2 linked regions of the Styela clava genome follow. The protein of the gene in region 1 interacts with the protein of each later gene in a pairwise test. Links are inferred from orthologs where the notes say so. Each region holds a gene or a part of one and is shown in the gene's direction. Other genes may lie near its edges.

Region 1 (8,688 bases):
GTAGCAAGTACAAGCACCAAGACAACGTTCACCATCTTCAATGTACGGTACATTCCTACTGCTTCCATTATTGTGCAATTCAATAACTTCTAAAGCATTGGATGAACTAGATTCCCACCATGAAACGAGAAGGCTTAGATAAATCAATTTCATGATTTCTAAAGAAATATAATTTATCTGTGATATAAAAGAACGTAAGCGAGACTACATGTCTGTAGCAATGGGTGTAATGAACATGGCACTTTCTCTAACCAACCACGAGAGTAAATTAGTATAAAATACTGTATAAACAAATATCAAAACTTTAACTAATATATATTTCTATTCACGGTAAAAGGTTAATCGATACCAAATGTATAGTGATATATATTGTCTTACATCTAAGGCAGGGGTCGGCAACCTTTTGTCACTCGCGGGCCAAAATTAAGGGTTGCAAGTCATTGGGCACACATATTTCTAGGAAGTTGAAAACCGAACGGATAATTCTTTTTATAATAAAAAACAAGCAGTGATACATCTTTCGATTATAATATAGATTTATTCCCTCATTGCATTGCATCTCAAAAAATTTCATTTGAATATTCCGGCGCCATTGAACCCTTTGCACTTAGTATCAACTTTTCTGCTTTTCGTTGCCATTTTGTTTAATTATAATTAAATTATAGGCTTATTAAACGAGTAATTGTGAATTTTATACTTGTTAGATTATAATATAATTTAGTCTACACGTGTCTCACAATAAATTCTGTTACGTAAAGAACATAATGTTAAAACAGCTGCTTTGTTACTATAATTCAGTGAAGCGCCGCGGGTCGGATTATATTATTCCGCGGGCCGTAGGTTGTCGCCCCCTGATCTAAGGGAATCAAGCTATCTCCAGATACTGCTATTATCAATTTATTTTTAGATAGCAGAACGATCTGAAACTATACCAAAATGTGCACATAATCACGCTGTAAACAGCGGAGTCGTGTTATCTGCTGGCGACAAGAAGTCACAATCAGGAGAGCTGAAAGCAGAATGTTTACGCTTGTCGCCAAAGTTTTGCGACCGCTACCCCGCTAAATAATAAATGCTATATCTATAGTAGGCGGGTTGGGGCATGCCATTGGTTCCGTCGGAATTGAATTTTGTACAAATATACCCAATGTACTGCCTTGTAATATACATATCTGTTATGCAGCTCAAAGTAAAATGGTCAACCCTACGATACAACAATTATTATAATATACTGGACTTTGACTACTACTTTGGTATACTTAAACTAAGCGGAAAATGTTTGTATTCGAAATTCAAATGTCCTCAACAGATAACAGAACAGTTTATTCAGACTCATCGTCACCCACAAGCAAATTATGAGAAACTAGCCGTAAAAAACTCATTCTAAGCAAACATGTCGGCATTTTTGAATCACGTCGCAACTATTTGGAATTGAGATAATATTATATCCGTCGCAACCCTCAAATTCTCTAATACAGGTGGAATATTTAAATCACCTAACAGTTACTCGAACAAAACAAAACGTAAGTGCAAATGCTCCTTACAGTACACCAGATATTCTAAATTAAATCTTATATTTAAATAAATCTTTAGTCATGCTTAACATAACATTGACAGAGCCTTATCACATACTAAACCAAAGACGTAACATAAGTCCTTGCCTTGATTTAATACAAATATTTACAATATATTTACCGTTCAGAGCAGAAGCGTTTTCAATAAATAAAAGTTTACACTGTTAAAAAAATCTGCACTGTTAGTCAGCTTTCGTAGTCTGATAAATAACGACATTCTCCCATTACACTAGTAGATGACGGTTAGCATTGATTCGATAAATACGTGACAACGTTCTAATTTGACGTTCAAGTGTAAAGATTGAATTTGCATCGCATTATGAGTTTTTACGCAATTTACCATTACGAATTTGTTTTAAATTGTTCATACTAATGAGACAGATAAGAAAGACGGGACGGGATGTTACGACTCTTGCTATGACGTTATATGTCTGTAAGAGAGCACATGGCAACAGCACGGAACAAGTTTGCACATGATCTGATTAATGTAAATATAATTACATGAGTGTAGTAGCCTACACGCCCCGTTCACATCCTCCATAGGTTGAGCTAATTTTGGCATTAGTTTAATATGTCAACCAAAATAAAGAATCCGAGAGCTCTAAAATTGTTTCCTCGTTTTTAAAAATTAAATAGCATTATTCCAAATATGTAAATACATATATATCAAGTGGAAATTTTAGATTATAATAATGCAATCGCGCTTCAATTGTAGTCAGAAAGAAACGCCACTTGATGGGCTATGGACGATATTGACAAATTCAGAAATAACGAGAATTAACCCATATCGCTAATTGCAATTTGATTCGGCCAAGTAGGCTATGTCATATATTTGAGTTTTGCTTGCGCATAGGTGAAATCTTGAATAGAAACATATCTTCTGCCATACCGGAAATTGAAATCTCGTGGGACGTCGCAGATTCAGTACTGGAGCACTTGGAAATTCTGGATGGTACCGAAATGTATTCTCTGGTATTCCGTAATGAATGGAATTTTGCAATATGTAATCTCAAACGTTGTTTAATATTCCCGTGCAATGCAAAAATAAGAAGTTACGAAGAAATCACCTAAAACGGAATTTCGACAACAAGAGCGAGATTTATTTTTATTAGTGGCAGTAGCCTATTTTCATTGGACTCGAAGTGGACCTATGGATCGTTTATTGTTGTTCTTGTTGGTATTGTTCTTTTCATTGTTACCGTATGGAAAAAATCGCTACTGCATCAATTGCTTCGAAATATGTATTTTTCGATAGAAGGCAATCACTCCTATTTATTTCAAAACTCTCTGTGGGCTCTATGTGATTCGTTTTTCACTTTGAAAATTTGTGTGATGACCTCTTGACAATTAATACAAATTATTTGTAGAGGTGCCTCGGAGTCAAAGGTTTTTGACGGTACCGGTACTGTAAATGGTTAGAAAAACTACTGCTTCCCCTCGGTCTTCGTTGAGAGTTTCTCATTTTAATAGCACAATGAATACTACTCATCATTGGTACCAACTTTAACACTGTTAAAAAGCGTCAGTCGTGAAACGTTCAAATAGCAGTTCACCGTTACTTCGATACTGTTGAAAATCCCAATCGTTTAAAGTTCAAATTGCATTTCGCCGTAACTTCAATACTGTTAAAAAGTGTCAGTCGTTAAACGCTTAAATTGCATAGCCTTCTGAGGAACTTTAGTTTAGCTGCAATGATCAGAAAATTAGTCCCGAAAAAGATGCGAAAGACTAGATATAAATAAGCCATCAGTACCTGTAGGCGGCAGGTGATTGAATATTTTAATAAAACTGATGGTTTGAACCAGAGTTGGATCAATTACATTAATTAAGTTCAATTACAATTGCAGTTATGCGCTTAAATATTTCAATTACATTACAATTACTCCGTGCAACAAATATCAAATTACAATTACTTTACAATTACAAATATATAGTTTAACAAAACGTAGCAAGAATTTACAGATTCAAACCAGACAGCCAGTGCTCCCATGGATTCAGCCTATTTTATCACAGCTATTTCTTGACTAATTTTTGATTACTACTATTGATTGAACTACAACTCCTAAGAAGGCAATATGATGATTCACTTATTTGATTCAAACTTAAATTTCCGACACACCATTAAATACTAACGAATAGAATTCGAAATCTTAAAATAAGGTATTGTTTTACGTCATTTTTTCGCATCTTGTTGATTGACTAATGTTACGAAATAAAAAAGGAAGGCGATTCTCGGATAACGCCACTTGAAAAAATATTTCGCCCTTTTTCGTCTTATTGCGGACCAGATGAAAGGAGGCCGTAGTTTGGTGACCCCTGGTGTAATTGAAAGTGTAATTGAGACAAAAATTTTCAGAAAATTACATTTACAATTACACAGAATGAAAATGCCTCAATTATATTACAATTATATGAAAAACTGTAATTATTATTTACATCAATTACAAATTACAATTGATCCAACTCTGGTTGGAACATTAACTCTCTAAAACACTCTCAAAATAAGTCTCAAAAGTTTTGTAGTAGTAAAGTATTGAGACTATTTTCCTGGGGTCAAGGGTCGGGGAAACATCAATACTTTATCATACTTTGTAATGATAAATACAACATTTTCAACTTTGATTTTCAGAGTGTTTTGGAGAGTTGGCGCTTCCAAACTGGTTTACAAGTTCAAAACAATCAGTTTTATTACAATGGTCGCCGCTTACAGGTACTGATAGCTTATTTTTACCTAGTCTATCGCATCGTTTGTGGTATTAATTTTGGATTATTGTAACTAGGGTCCCCAGAAGACATAATGACAGCGATTCCAGTGATTACGTCATTATTAACTTATTGCCGATTGGGCCCCTTGTTACGAAAATAAATAAGGAAATTGATGATCGGGAAAACATAAATTACTGTACCCAAAAATATATTCTGCTTTCCAGTTTCCACTTAGTTTCTCCGCTAGGTGGCGTCGACGGGGCGTAAATTTTTGAAGAATAAAGAATCGCCAAGATATCAATTTTGATACAAAAGCGAAAAAGTGAAGTCGGCCAGCTGGGTAGGTCGCCTGTTTTTCAAAGATACCCAGCCTGCCAGTTCCGTTATTTTTTATTGAAGTGACTGACTTTTGGCTTTCTTAACTACCGGACTCTAAGCAATTAGACTACAATCTGACAACAATGGCAGAAAGTTGATGCTACCGGTGTCAGATGCTCGCTAGTAATACTGTAATAACTGCATAACATGAATACCGTATCTGATTATTCGGAAAATATTGGCTTCACTTTAATATACCTGTATTCAGTTATTGTTTTATTATTAACAACCTTTTCTTCCCTCTGGGATAAATATGTGTGTAACACCTTATTTTCAAGTTTATATTTATAGTAAAATAGATTTTATGTAAATTGAATTTCAATGGCACCCGCACTTGAATTTGATGAATGTGTCAAGGATTCTCCGATGTTCAGGTAAAGTGGTATCACCATATTTTAATATTGAATGTATTGGCTGAATATGTTTAGGGCACATGTTTCAGTGTTTGCATGTGTAGTCTACCGGTATGGCTATTTGAATATGTTTCAATTGTTCTGGTCAAGTTTCCAGAGTAAAAAATTTAAATGAATGACCTATTATTTTATGTTTCAGAGAATTGCTACACAGCTCAGAAAATGACACATGTGCTCTCGAGGGTCTTTTGGAAAAGGTAATTGGTTTTAAAATATGAGATGACAACGTTAGAATCATATGATGATTCTCCACATACTTGTGTTTAATGTTCCACATACAGACATATTTTCGGTATATTTATTCACATAATACAGTGATAGCATTTACTATTACTTAAGTGGCTCATAAAATTTGGATTATATTTTCTTGTTTATATAAACAAAAGCCAGAAAACTATTTTATAAGTGGTTGAACCTATATTTTGTAATGGAGAGTGTTATCTATTAAGGTATGACTACAAGTAATTGTTGTGTTATTGAATCCGTACAGGTTTTAAAGCAATACAACTATGCAAATGAAGCTGAAAAACTTTACAGTTCTGCAAATTTGTAAGTTTGTTACAAATTGTTAAGATGATCTTGCTCAATTACGTAACCTTCAAGAGTGGTTTATAAGTCCCTGGGATCCGGGTCGGAATTGTGTTTTAAAACTTCTAGAGTCGGAGTCGTAATCTCAGATATGTAAGAGTGTGAATCAAAGTAAAATTGTCCAACTGGTACAAAAAGGCGTTATGTTTATCAAGAATTCACAATAGACTATTGAAGTTGGCTTGCATCTGTTAACATCGTTGTATTCAAAATTAATTTTCTTGAGAGATGAAGACAACCCAAAATAAGGAGTCAGAGTTTTGAGTCATAATATTTGAGTAAACTCACAGAGTCATTTTTTAAATGGCTGTGACTTTGGAGTGTGATTGTTGGCCTAATCACACCCCATAAGACATAAGCATAATTAACAACTGAACTAGAACAAAATGATTTGATTCATTATCATAAGCCTGTATTTAAGGAACAATTTCTATTTATTTTTATATATATGAATTAAATCCTTAAAACATTGCCTCTTTATTGTTATTAGATTTCAATGGGACTAGACTTTTAATTTTGAAGTAAAGTTCATTTTGTATTATTGATTTTACAGAATGTTGAAAGAAGTTATTTTAGAATTGAGAGGATATTATAAAGATGATGAGTTTTTAAAGGTACTTTTTGAAATGAATTCCTGTTCTCTAATTCATTAATATAAAGAATAGCATTTATAAGTTAGTAATATCAATAACATTGATGCTTCAAGTTTTTAGATGTAATTTTATGTCATTAAAAATCAAAGCCATATGATATATCAATTTTGCTTTATAATTCTTGGTACTCATTGTGATCCACTCACACTGATATTTTGAAGTTAAGTAAACTCAGAACGAATGTTCTTGCCGAACTTGTGTTCCACATAGATAGTGGAATATTATAATGTATTCTGAGTGATATTAAATTATGTATTGTGCTCTCAGTAACAGTAATTATAATTTTATTTTTGCAGAATATTATCAACCAGTTTTTACATGTTTTGGAAGAAATAAATTCTTTCCACTCGGTAAGTTGAAACAAGTGTTCTATTTTACAATAGTTTGAATGCAATTTAATGCAATGCAAACGTCACGACTCTGATAACCTTCACAGTCTATGTGACTCCCTTGTTCTGTCAAACTGTTTTCTTTTTTTCTTTTGTGTAAATGAATGTTCATTATCTATTCACTTCTTGCATGGTGATGAAATAAATACTATTAATACTGAGGTTTTTTGTTCGGTTTTACACTACAAGGACTGATAATATACTAGAAAATGCGTTTTTGCAATTGTTTCGCATTTGCAAGGTTAATACACCTCAATTATCCAAAAGTATTCTTGTAAAAAGAAATTACTTTAAGTTTTATACATTGATAACTTACCATAAGTGCTGATAAACAATGAGTGATAATTTCTTTATCTTTCCTTAATAAACTTTATCTTGATGAACAAAATGAATTCACAAACATTTCAACAATTGATATTACTAGTAAGTAGTAATAGTAGTAAATCATATTCATTCAGAGTCAATGCTTTCGAAAGTTGCAAGATGTCATGAATTCATTCATGATCATGAAAATTTGAATTCTACATTACAAAAATGCTTTCAATCTACTTTTACTATGATATGATTGTCCAAGCTTGGACCAAACTTCTATAACTAAACACAAAAGAATAAATCGTTCAAATCTATATTTTCTCATTCAATAGATCCTGGATCAAGCACAGAAATCGATAAACACACGTATGACACACTTCCTGAAAACGTGAGTAATAGTTTACAGGAAAAGATTTGTATTGTAACTTGAAATGTTCTATCTCAATACTACTTTATTTAAGGAATTGCTTTTATACCTATAGCATTCATGCCTTGACCTATATTATGGTAGTAACACAAATCAAAATTATATTCCTTGAAGTGGGTATACACAAATCTTAGCATGCAAACAATATATGTTTTGTCTACAATTCAAATGTCTATTCATAGTAATTTACCACATAAGTTACTACATAACAATTGAATAAAACATATTCATTTGAATATAGATAATATAAATATAGATGAAATTAATTAGGATAATCTGTAAATTTGACTTTGTACATTAACCCGTTTGCCTGCTGATGAAGACACACTTGAATAGACATTTTAAAAGCAGTATGAATAATTCTGTTTGCATTGCCATGGTGATGATTATGGGAATTTGCATGACACAGCGTCATAACAAGGCAGTTCTAATTTAATCACAATTTATGTTATACAAAAATATATAGGAAAATTTCTGTTTTGTAAGAAGCGGTTCAAATTGTCTCTCTATATATGGATAAAGTTGGCTTCTAGTACTTCAGACATTCATATGTTGTAACATTCTATCTAATCTAATCTGAAATATATAAGCTAAAGTAGGCTATTGATTGCAGTCGGTGCGTAATCCATACCCTCAATCTCACTCAGGTGTAACAACTTAAATAGGTTATTTCTGTTTCAGAAAAGTGAATATATATATATATATATATATATTGGTAATTTATGTCATATGTGTTAAATAGCTAATATTGAAAGTCTGAGTGAAGACTCACTAGGAGGAAGGGAGAACTAATTTCCAAGCCATGGCATAAAATATTGGTAATATGTAAGATTCAAGCAGTAACTGATATGTTGCAAGACATTAAAGTCCTTCTATGTTAAATTGTCGAATTTAATTGTATTTTGTCATTTATTTTTGTTTAATTCCTTATTCAGAGATGTCAAAGGAAATCAAGATCTGAAGAAAACTTTCGATAAAGTTTCAAACGACTTTGATAATGCATTGAGTAAACATGCATCAGTCAGTCGATATAAACCTCATGAAATTGAAGAATCAGAATCATCTCTCGCTAATCATAAAACTACTTTCAGAAATGTTACAATGGAATATGTTTATCAGGTAATTGATAGAATATGTGCTTTTATCATGACATGAAATTTGATATAATTTAATGTTGTTCTTTAATCTTTTTAATGGTTCATACTTGTTTTCTTTTGAACATTTGAGTTCAATATATACATTTAATAT
Region 2 (9,580 bases), on another chromosome or scaffold:
TTTTATTCTGATTCCGGCCATAATTTTGTACCGATTTTCTCTATTTTAGTTTTATTACGATTCCGGAAACTGTCTGTTTGCCAAGTGAATATCCCCTTGCCCATAGGTTTCAGTCCCTTTACACAACTTGATGTAAAGTAGGCGAACAAAGTTAGTTACTTTTATATTGGTACACATATTTGTGGAACATCGAAATTAGGGCATTAAATTAGTTGTTTCACTTTGTTCTCTGACTTGCCACTGCATAAAATCCTATTTTATTATCTCGTTTGCAATGACGATAATCATTTATCAATACACCTCAATAAAACCCATAATTTATATGGATCTCTTCAATTTATTATATCTTATTATCAGAACATACTTCGGTGAAGTCGTATCAAAATCATCAACAACGTGTAGGTCAAACTTCACCTCGTCACTCTACAAGACCAGCAGCCGAGCGAGCTGCAGCTGCAATATGTGCATCATCAGAAGAGATGGATGAAACTAGTAATGGAAGAGTTACATTCACTAGACAGTCTGATGCAGAAAGTTTATCTGGATATAGTGATTCAGAGCCAGATAGGACTGGACGTAGTCATGCGACTGGCTAATATTTTCAATTCGATTCAACTCAATGCGAGCCTTCTTTTTGCATAATATGTTTGAAAAACAATGGTATAGGTGTTTGAGAGGAGTAATTTCTAATTTTGATTTGGACGGGTATGACTGAAAACTTTTAAGATAGGGCTTCATAAGGCAATAACTTTTATAAATCTTATGATTTGCTCAATTTTATTGTTGTTTTATTTTTTAACATTGTTCTCGATATTGTGAGCTAATTTTGTATGATTCTTGGATATTTTTCAGTAGCACATTAAGTGTAGAAACTGGAAGAAATATAGGACCTAAATTTTTCATCCTGACGTTATGTGCCTCAAAAAAAAAAATTTGTTGAAATATTGGTAATGATGAAAATGCGAAATTCTCGATATGTACTTTATATTTATATATGTTTTAACCAGTACTGTCTCCCAGTCTACGAGGAAATTGTGCAATTTATTACATTCAGCCGTGTTGTGATTTTCTGTAGAATTCATTCACCAAAAATTTAATTAAGATTAGTGTTTGGCCGACTGTGAGGCAAGCTTATGCACTGCGGTTTGTGCGTGGTACTAAGCGTTATACCCGTTTACCATCGCGCGTCGGCATTAGCATTATGTGTCCGTCTATTCGAAATTTTGTTTTAAACTGGCGTCTATCAGTTGGCAAGGGTCATTGAATAGTAAACATGTGCTCCATGCTCCGTCTTGTTAGTAGAGGAACGTGCCAGAGTTGCTAGCAGCAATTTGAACCATCTTATCGTACTTGCCCAGAGCAGGGAGAAGAATATGCCTCACGCTTGCGACGTGTATTGGATCTAATTTTTCTTGCTCATGGGAAAAGGTTAGGCGCAATTATTTGTTCAGCTGGGACTTTGACGGGCACCTACCGGATGGTCGTAAACATGAGATCTCATTCGGCGGCTATAAGTCCGGCATTTATAAATAATTGTACATAGCCAATACATAAATGTACAATGTGGTTTATCACAGGTTTCAAATCCGCGAGCTGCAGGGACGAATGTCCACCACGAATCGCCGTTGTTTAACTTTTTTCCACCCGAAATTAAGTGTCCCTGCTCGATAACCAGTCTTGGTGTCTCGCGCCTCCTTTCACCCTGAAGTACCATTTTACTTCATTTTTTGTATTTTTTATTCGCTATGGTGGAAAAATAAATTACTGATTCATCAGATATGTCGTGTATGAGGAGAAATATAGAGGCTCATTATTTTTTTCAACCAAAATGCATATTCGAAGTGATAAAAAATTGAACAGAACTCATTTTGGTACAGACTGGGAGATGGCGATAGGACCAAAGACCATGGAAGTCAATCACCAATGATGTATCAAAAAATATCTGTCATGTCTATAACAATATCAGCTAAGAGTTGGGTGTAACAGTTTCTGCGTCTGCGAGACTTCCTTCGAATTTCTTGGAAAAGTGCAAGAAACCTGAATTGGTCGCTTCTCAACTGTCAAGATACAAGTCTGGTCAGGTGTCGCACGATATCATGGAATGCCTGTCCAAAAAATTATCCGACTCGATACAGTAATTAGTACGGTAATAAAATGCAGACATGAGTCAACTCAAGACACAGTTATGTCTTTCTTTTTAGTAAGTGAACGTGGACAATTCCGGACTCCTGAATGAGATTCGGACCCAGCGAGGTTCGCGAAGGGACTGGAATTGAATGACGTCATTTCATAGGCGTATTGGGTGTCTGAGGCCATCGTACTGTCGTACAGTCGTAAAGCAATGCCGGTGGGCTGCTGTTGAATTATTCTGTATATATGTGATATTTCAGTATTTAGTCATAGTAAAACAGTTATTCATGTTTCAGTGTTTTGTAGTGCTAACATCCGAACATAAGGTACGGACTTGGTTACATGGTCTAGCTGTAAAGCGCACAAAACGATGTTTAATTACTGTTAAAATATTATCTTTAATTAATTATGTTTATGATACAGTGATTCTGTTGACTTTGGATAGAATTAAGGTATAGGATAGAATTCACATAATTATCCTGGGGAGCTGATAAGACGGCTTAATTATTTGCCGAACCATAGGTCTGTAGGTAGTAGATACTTTATTTTGAAAACTCCATAATACACACCAATTAAAAAGGGAGAATTCTGGAGAGCGGGCAAAGCCTTAAAACCGCCCACCAGCACACACACAAAAAAAAGTTACAAAAAATAAACAAACCCAATTAACCAGGCTAGGGTCAGAAATGACCAAACAAGAGATGCGCAAATGTATTGAACTTTTGGGCTATTATACTTTTAAAACACTCAAGCTAATACAGTACAGCAGTAATAATGACTAATTCAATCTGATACTGGTATACAGGTATATGCTGATATGCCTTAATTCAGTAATTTGAATGTCCTAAAAGGATGGAAATATAAGTTCAATTTTCAATCTTTTCAGACTTACACCAGTACACTGATACAGCAATATCTGAATATACAGATATATGTTGTTATTTAAAGTACCAGTAATGTTTATTTTGTCCCATCCATCAATGATATTGCGATAAACCGAAGATCCTTGGCGTCAAATATAAACCTTGATCAACAGATAATATTATTTCCAATTCTCGAAAGTATTTTACAATATTATTTATTGATCATTACAAAATAAAACCCTTAACACCAGATTACTCTACAGCCCACAGTTTTCAGGTTTTAGTATTAGCATCTCAGTATCAATACCAAAGTAAGAACTAACAGAAGGATGAATATCTTTCGAGATTTGATGAGGATTTTGAGAAGGATGAATATCTTTTGAGATTTGATGTTGACTGTTTGTATGTTGATCCCTTTTAATGAACCATTATCCGCAATACCTTTCCATTGATTTTTTCTATTCTCTTTATATCTTGCAAATGTTCTGTTCCATACTGCAGACAGCTTCACTGAGAGATAAAAATGCATGTGAAATATTTTTAATTACCAGAATATTTTGTGTATGGATCAGAATATAGTCTACCATCTGTCAGTAAATTGTTTTTTGCAATCCATCCCTCTACAGCTCTATGAATGTAAAGGATGCTGTATTCTCATATTGTTGGCTATGCCATATAGGCTACAACTATCATTGATTATTTTTGGCAAGAAAATGTTTTCATCAGAGCTGATGGATTTTATATAACATACATAGTTCAGTACTATGTTTGGCTTTGGTAAAGGTCTATGCTAAAATCTTCACACTAAAATGTCAAATTTGTTTAAATAGTTATAGTTACCTTACAGCTTGTATAGATGTGACTGAAAATTTAAAATGCTCACGTAAAACATTCAAATCTTTTTGGCCTTGGAATTGAGAAAAACCGGTGTAATGAATTCCCATATTTGAAATCACTGCATTATTGGTCATTTTGACCAGTTGAGACCACTGTTTATGGCTTTCCTCATGCTGCTCTTAGAAATGCAAGGCATAAAAGCAGTAATTCTAATTAAATAAACTTTTATGTTCATAACCTAATTGACTTTGCTTGGATTTAAATTAAAACAGTATAATAATAATATTGTGCCTAAGCTATAGCTGTGCTAAATAAGTTCTATAACAAACTATAAACAACTTCTTTAACGAAGATATATATAAATAACTCAAAACAAGCATGATTTTCCAAAATTTACTTATGTAATATCTAGACTCTGCTTATCTGATTTAAAATCTCTCTGCGAATGGTGGTGCTATTTTATAATTTAGTTTCCAGAAACTAAAAATTGTTTATGTACTATTATAGTTGCGATTGAATTGATTAGAATGAGTCATTATGAATTGTTTTAGCTAGATTTATTGTTTTGCTTGAAGTGAATGTGTGAAATGTCCCATGAAAAGCTCACCAAATTTTTAAGAAAAGGATTAAATAGGAAGATTGTTAGTTAGACTGACAAGAGTTGTAAACTCTGAAACTTGTTAGTGAAAACTGTAGTGTATGCTCCCATTTGTTGAGATGGAATTATTTTTGCTGTGGAGGAATTATACAGCCTTATCAAACTCTTTACAGTTAGTATAGTGAGTCATTGACCTAAATTTATAACCCATTTATGCATTTGAATCATAAATAGAGATTTGAAGTTGTGCATACTCATATTCTGGGATATATTTTACTTTAGTTGAAAAAATGTTCATCGTAAATTCAATAAACAAACAAATATTCTATCCCATTGTTCTGTACATTCAAGAACATTTTATATACATATTGATGTTAATTACATATTGGAATTAGGTTGATAATATAGACAATTTAAAAATATAGCAGTATTGATATCAGTATTGGCAATAAAGTGATATCGGCACATCTTTAGTTTTCAACATGCTAAGCTCGGGACGGGTCTCGTGTAGTTTCGTACCTAACGTACTTCTAGTGGGTGTAGCATAACATTTTTTTGACATGTCAATCCTAACCCTCACCTGACTACGCCATCCAAAAATTACGTCACTACGTCGTCACAATCCCGTCATAGAGCTTGCCAAATACTCGTACGATTGCCCGAAATGACATCGGCGCCGACGATAAAGAGCTGACTAACGTCAGCGATCTCTCTCCTATCGGGATCGTTGCGACGAGAAAACGAGAGAAATAGCTGTTCGATTTCGGGTTCTCGTCTGCGCGTCTTGAATGACGGTTCGCATAGTTTGAAGGGCTCTATTACGTCGTAGTGACGTAGTTTTTGGATGGTGTGGTCAGGTGGGGGTTAGGATTGACACGTGAAAAAATTGTTATGCTACGCCTACGTTAGGTAAGTTAGGTACGAAACTCGGGACAGTATAAGAATGATCAAAGATTTTGAATACAACTCCTGTATGGAATAATTGTCGTTTCGTCGTACAATTTCATTGCTCAGGAATTAGAATAGGATTTACATATTTATCCCAGAGTAGAGGAAAGTCGATTAAAAGGCTTAATCATATGTCAAACCATGGCCCCTCGTCCTGTTACCGATCCATGTTGGGTATGGGAGTAGTTGGCCAGTTATTTGTTTTCATATGCATGGACAATGCCTTAGCCTGAACATGGCTCTGAACAAGTAACTCTTCTGATATAAGGTGATATTATTGATGAAAACACTGGAATACAGTACAGTACAGTAATGCTCCACCTAGTCAATGATAAATATAACAATTGACATGGCAAGTATTTGATTGATTCTGAATATTTAACAACTGCACTTTTTATACAATTTTACCAGGTTTTTGTGGAAGTTATTGCATTGGATTATTTTTTGTCAAGCCTGTTATCTTATTATATAATTTGAAAGGGAGGTTTCCCTAATTACACCTCCATATGAAATATGGCAAGGGAATATGATCATTTGTTCAAGCTTTTAATTATAGGAGATAGTGGTAAGTACTTTGTGTCTATCGTTTGTTGTGTTGTTTTTTATGCATACCAAGTAAAAAGTTGATGACTAAAGTGTAAATTTTCACAGGTGTCGGCAAAAGCAGTTTGTTGTTGAGGTTTGCAGACAACACATTTTCAGGTATTTATATCTCCAGTTTAATTTGTTTCCAAGCTTCATCCTTAGGTTTTTATTTTGAATTATGTTCAATTTTCAAAGAGTTAATTTATTTGAGTGTAATTTACGTTCTTAATGCTTTGTGTATGATTGTGATACATTGATTCAACTTTGCACTTTGTGTTATTTATTGAATGCCACACACAGGGAGTTATATTACAACAATTGGAGTTGATTTCAAAATCAGAACAGTTGAAATTGAAGGCGAAAAAGTCAAATTACAGATCTGGGATACAGCAGGCCAAGAACGATTTCGTACAATAACATCAACGTAAGAATATAAATTGTAGCGAGTACAATTCGTGAGCTGTTGTTTTATTAACTCATTCAGGCTTTCAATTATGAATGTTTAAAAATGCATCTCAGTTAGTTTTGAATTCCGTGTAGTAATGAGTAAATAACACTTTTTTAAAAATTATAAGGGTAATCAAAATTTAGTTCCAATTTTAATTTTTTTCATTCTAAATGATATTTACCGTAGGTCAAATTTTACGAAATAAGATTCAGAAAAGTAGAGCGAGGTCTTTAAAAAAATTGGAATAAACAAATCTATTTCTGTTTTGATCAGTATTTTATTCCAGTATCTCTGTGTATTATATTGAAAACATGTAACAAAATATATCGCAGTCGGACATTAACAGTTTTATTGTACTAATGATTTTAACAGATATTACAGAGGGACACATGGTGTTATTGTTGTTTATGATGTGCAAAGTGCAGAATCATTTGTCAATGTCAAGAGGTGGCTTCATGAAATTGAACAAAATTGTGATATCGTCAATAAAATATTAGGTTAGTATTCCTTAATCTCTTCAAGTAGAATCGGTTGAAATCAACAATTTTGTATTGAAAATTAATTTGAAGATTGTTTTTCTTTCTACAGTTGGTAATAAAGATGATGATCCTGACAAAAAAGTTGTAGAAACAGCAGATGCTCAAAAATTTGCAGATCAAATTAAAATAAAATTGTTTGAAACAAGTGCGAAAGAAAATAAAAATGTTGAAGAGGTGAGTCTGCCGATCATACAGTTTGAAAAGTTTATAAGCTTCTGCATATTTGATAGGCATGTTGAAAGTAATTTTAGAATACAACCATGTAGGCTACTGTTTTTTGTGTGTGAATATCACCAGCTAATAAGATAAAACTGGCATACTTGTGTCAATATTTAACTATACATTACAGTTTCTCTCAGCAAATACGATTGTTTATTGTGATATTCTGAATCCTCCATGGAAATGAAATCTACTCCAATTCAGTTCAGTTGAACTTGTATCCATATAATATGTGTATAGTTTATGCTATACTGTATAGATTTTAAAAACTATCTATTTTCTACTTGCACAAAGAATTCACATTGATGTCCAATTTCTCTTAGCAAACAAGGTACAAAATTGTTTTTCGTAATAGTATGAATCTCTTATGGAAATGTAATACATTTCAAATTAGTCAAGACCAGTTTTGTGAATCACTGCCATCTCATGATGCCATAATCATGCCATTGTATTCTGCTGACTGACCTTTTTTGATCAGTAATCATAATTGACTGCAGTAAGTTCATTAGGAAATTTTCACATTTTAAGAAGTTTCAGGATTTTGCCTGTTGCTTTATCAACAAGTCAGGTCATAGCAGGAAGTAATTGGTGTGATGGCTGAGGCGGTCTTGTCTCGTAGGTTACAGTAAATTTTTCGTGTGATTCTTATATACCTTAGAGATCTATTAGTTATAGCATAGGCAGGAGATATACAATTTATGACATTTACAAATTATGACATTATACAAATTATGTGCTTTTTGATCATAGGAGCTATACCATGTTGGTTCAATAAATGTTGACAAAAAAACGGTTCAAGATGACTTAGTACATGTTATGCCTAAAATGATAGTTTACTGACTTATGACCATAAGAATCATTGTTCAATTATCCATTTTAAAATGTACTGTCACATAGTATTTTTGTCACTAGGAAGACATAGCTAGTTAACCTTTTTTCATGTTCGGCATACTTTACTGTATTGACACAAATAACCTTTTATATTACTCATTACTTGATGATGACTGGTTTTCAGTCATCCCACATACCCGGTTGAATAATTTGAAGTTTTACTAATGCAAGGTTTGTCTAAAGTGATTGATATTCACTATTGAACAACAGATAAATAGGTATAAACTATGTGTAATTGTAAATAAATAAACAAGACTAAATAACTACTATTGTATGTACGCAATTTTTCTCTTTATCATCAAATCTGTACGTCAAATTATTAACATTATTTCAAGTTATACCAGTTTTAATTGGTATACACCAATTTGAGCCTTATTTATAATAATGGAATACTAGAAGTATGAAATATTATGCTGTCATAAATATAAGCACAGAATGACTGGTTAATGAGGCTATGCCTAAGTTTTATTCAATAAACATGATTAGTTTATTTTACTATTATACTTTTCAGATGTTCACTGAAGTTACACGACAAGTTTTAAGAACCAAGAAATCTGCGGAGGCATCTGGTCGAGATCAAAACATTGAAACAGTTAAACTAGATACAAAGAAAAAGGGGAAAAAGAAGGGTGGATGCTGTTAATGAGATTGGTTATTCGCCGAATTATATATAAAATCTGGTTTCTGGGCCCCAATTATCACCATATGTGCCCCAGTTGTCAGAAGCTGACTATATTATTGAATAACCCAAAATATTATTACAGTGGAGTAAAAATATTAGAAAAATATCACAGTGGAGTTGGAGGTATGGTTGAAAGAGCCATTTAAATGATATTAGGTCTTTTAATATAAGAAACATCAATTCTTTTCACTCAATTTCTATATTATATTATTTCAAAATCAGTACCCTGGGGTTTGCCACATGTTATAACTGCATAAAGTAACAGATATAATTCATTATTCAACACATAGAAAGTTGCATACACATTGTATCAAAAATAGAACCTGACGCTGGAAACATAATTTGATAATGCTTATTGACCAGCTCACACTCATAGAAAAATCATGTCTATACAATGCAGTTTGTAGTGTATTTATAGAATGGAGACTTAATTCATGAAGCTCCAGTGCTTTTTTTCATCATCGATTACTATATTTTCAACTTTTTCTAATTGATTTGTCTCTAACTATACATTTCTCATAAGACGACATTCTCCTAATAAACGAATTATCTTTGCTGGGAAGTGCTTTAAATATTCAAAAAAACACATCTTATTGTTGTAGATCAGAGTACTTGAAAAACACCTAAATTAAAGAATTTATTATATATGTCTTGTGTTTAAAAAAAAAATCTAAGCCATAATTGTAAGGTTGTTTAAATAATATGGTTCAAATCAAACCAAAAAACAGCTATTGACGGAGAGACGGTTATTTGTTTTGGGGTCTTTATTCCTAGAAGTTGAGACAGCCGTATTCATAGCCATTGTCATAGCAAGAAAGCAGTACTGTCACCCACTGTTTT

The links.
Region 2: the proteins of arf-GAP with coiled-coil, ANK repeat and PH domain-containing protein 2-like (region 1) and ras-related protein Rab-35-like interact in a two-hybrid assay, tested with the Caenorhabditis elegans proteins (2 studies listed by BioGRID). The link is inferred for Styela clava from reciprocal best matches to the Caenorhabditis elegans genes cnt-1 and rab-35.

What each region holds. Positions count from the first base shown.
Region 1 is NC_135256.1:11,289,387-11,298,074, forward strand, and holds the start of arf-GAP with coiled-coil, ANK repeat and PH domain-containing protein 2-like, read left to right. Parts: upstream 1-4,940; 5' UTR 4,941-4,979; coding exon 4,980-5,032; intron 5,033-5,210; coding exon 5,211-5,268; intron 5,269-5,561; coding exon 5,562-5,620; intron 5,621-6,212; coding exon 6,213-6,273; intron 6,274-6,608; coding exon 6,609-6,662; intron 6,663-7,345; coding exon 7,346-7,401; intron 7,402-8,375; coding exon 8,376-8,559; intron 8,560-8,688. Other genes in the region: uncharacterized protein LOC120327969, read right to left, coding at 1-153. UniProt on the Caenorhabditis elegans protein: GTPase-activating protein for the ADP ribosylation factor family. Regulates endosome recycling downstream of rab-10 and upstream of arf-6.
Region 2 is NC_135252.1:15,515,417-15,524,996, forward strand, and holds the start of ras-related protein Rab-35-like, read left to right. Parts: upstream 1-5,769; 5' UTR 5,770-5,889; coding exon 5,890-5,941; intron 5,942-6,027; coding exon 6,028-6,078; intron 6,079-6,261; coding exon 6,262-6,385; intron 6,386-6,781; coding exon 6,782-6,906; intron 6,907-6,997; coding exon 6,998-7,122; intron 7,123-8,569; coding exon 8,570-8,701; 3' UTR 8,702-9,580. Other genes in the region: deoxynucleotidyltransferase terminal-interacting protein 1-like, read left to right, coding at 358-596.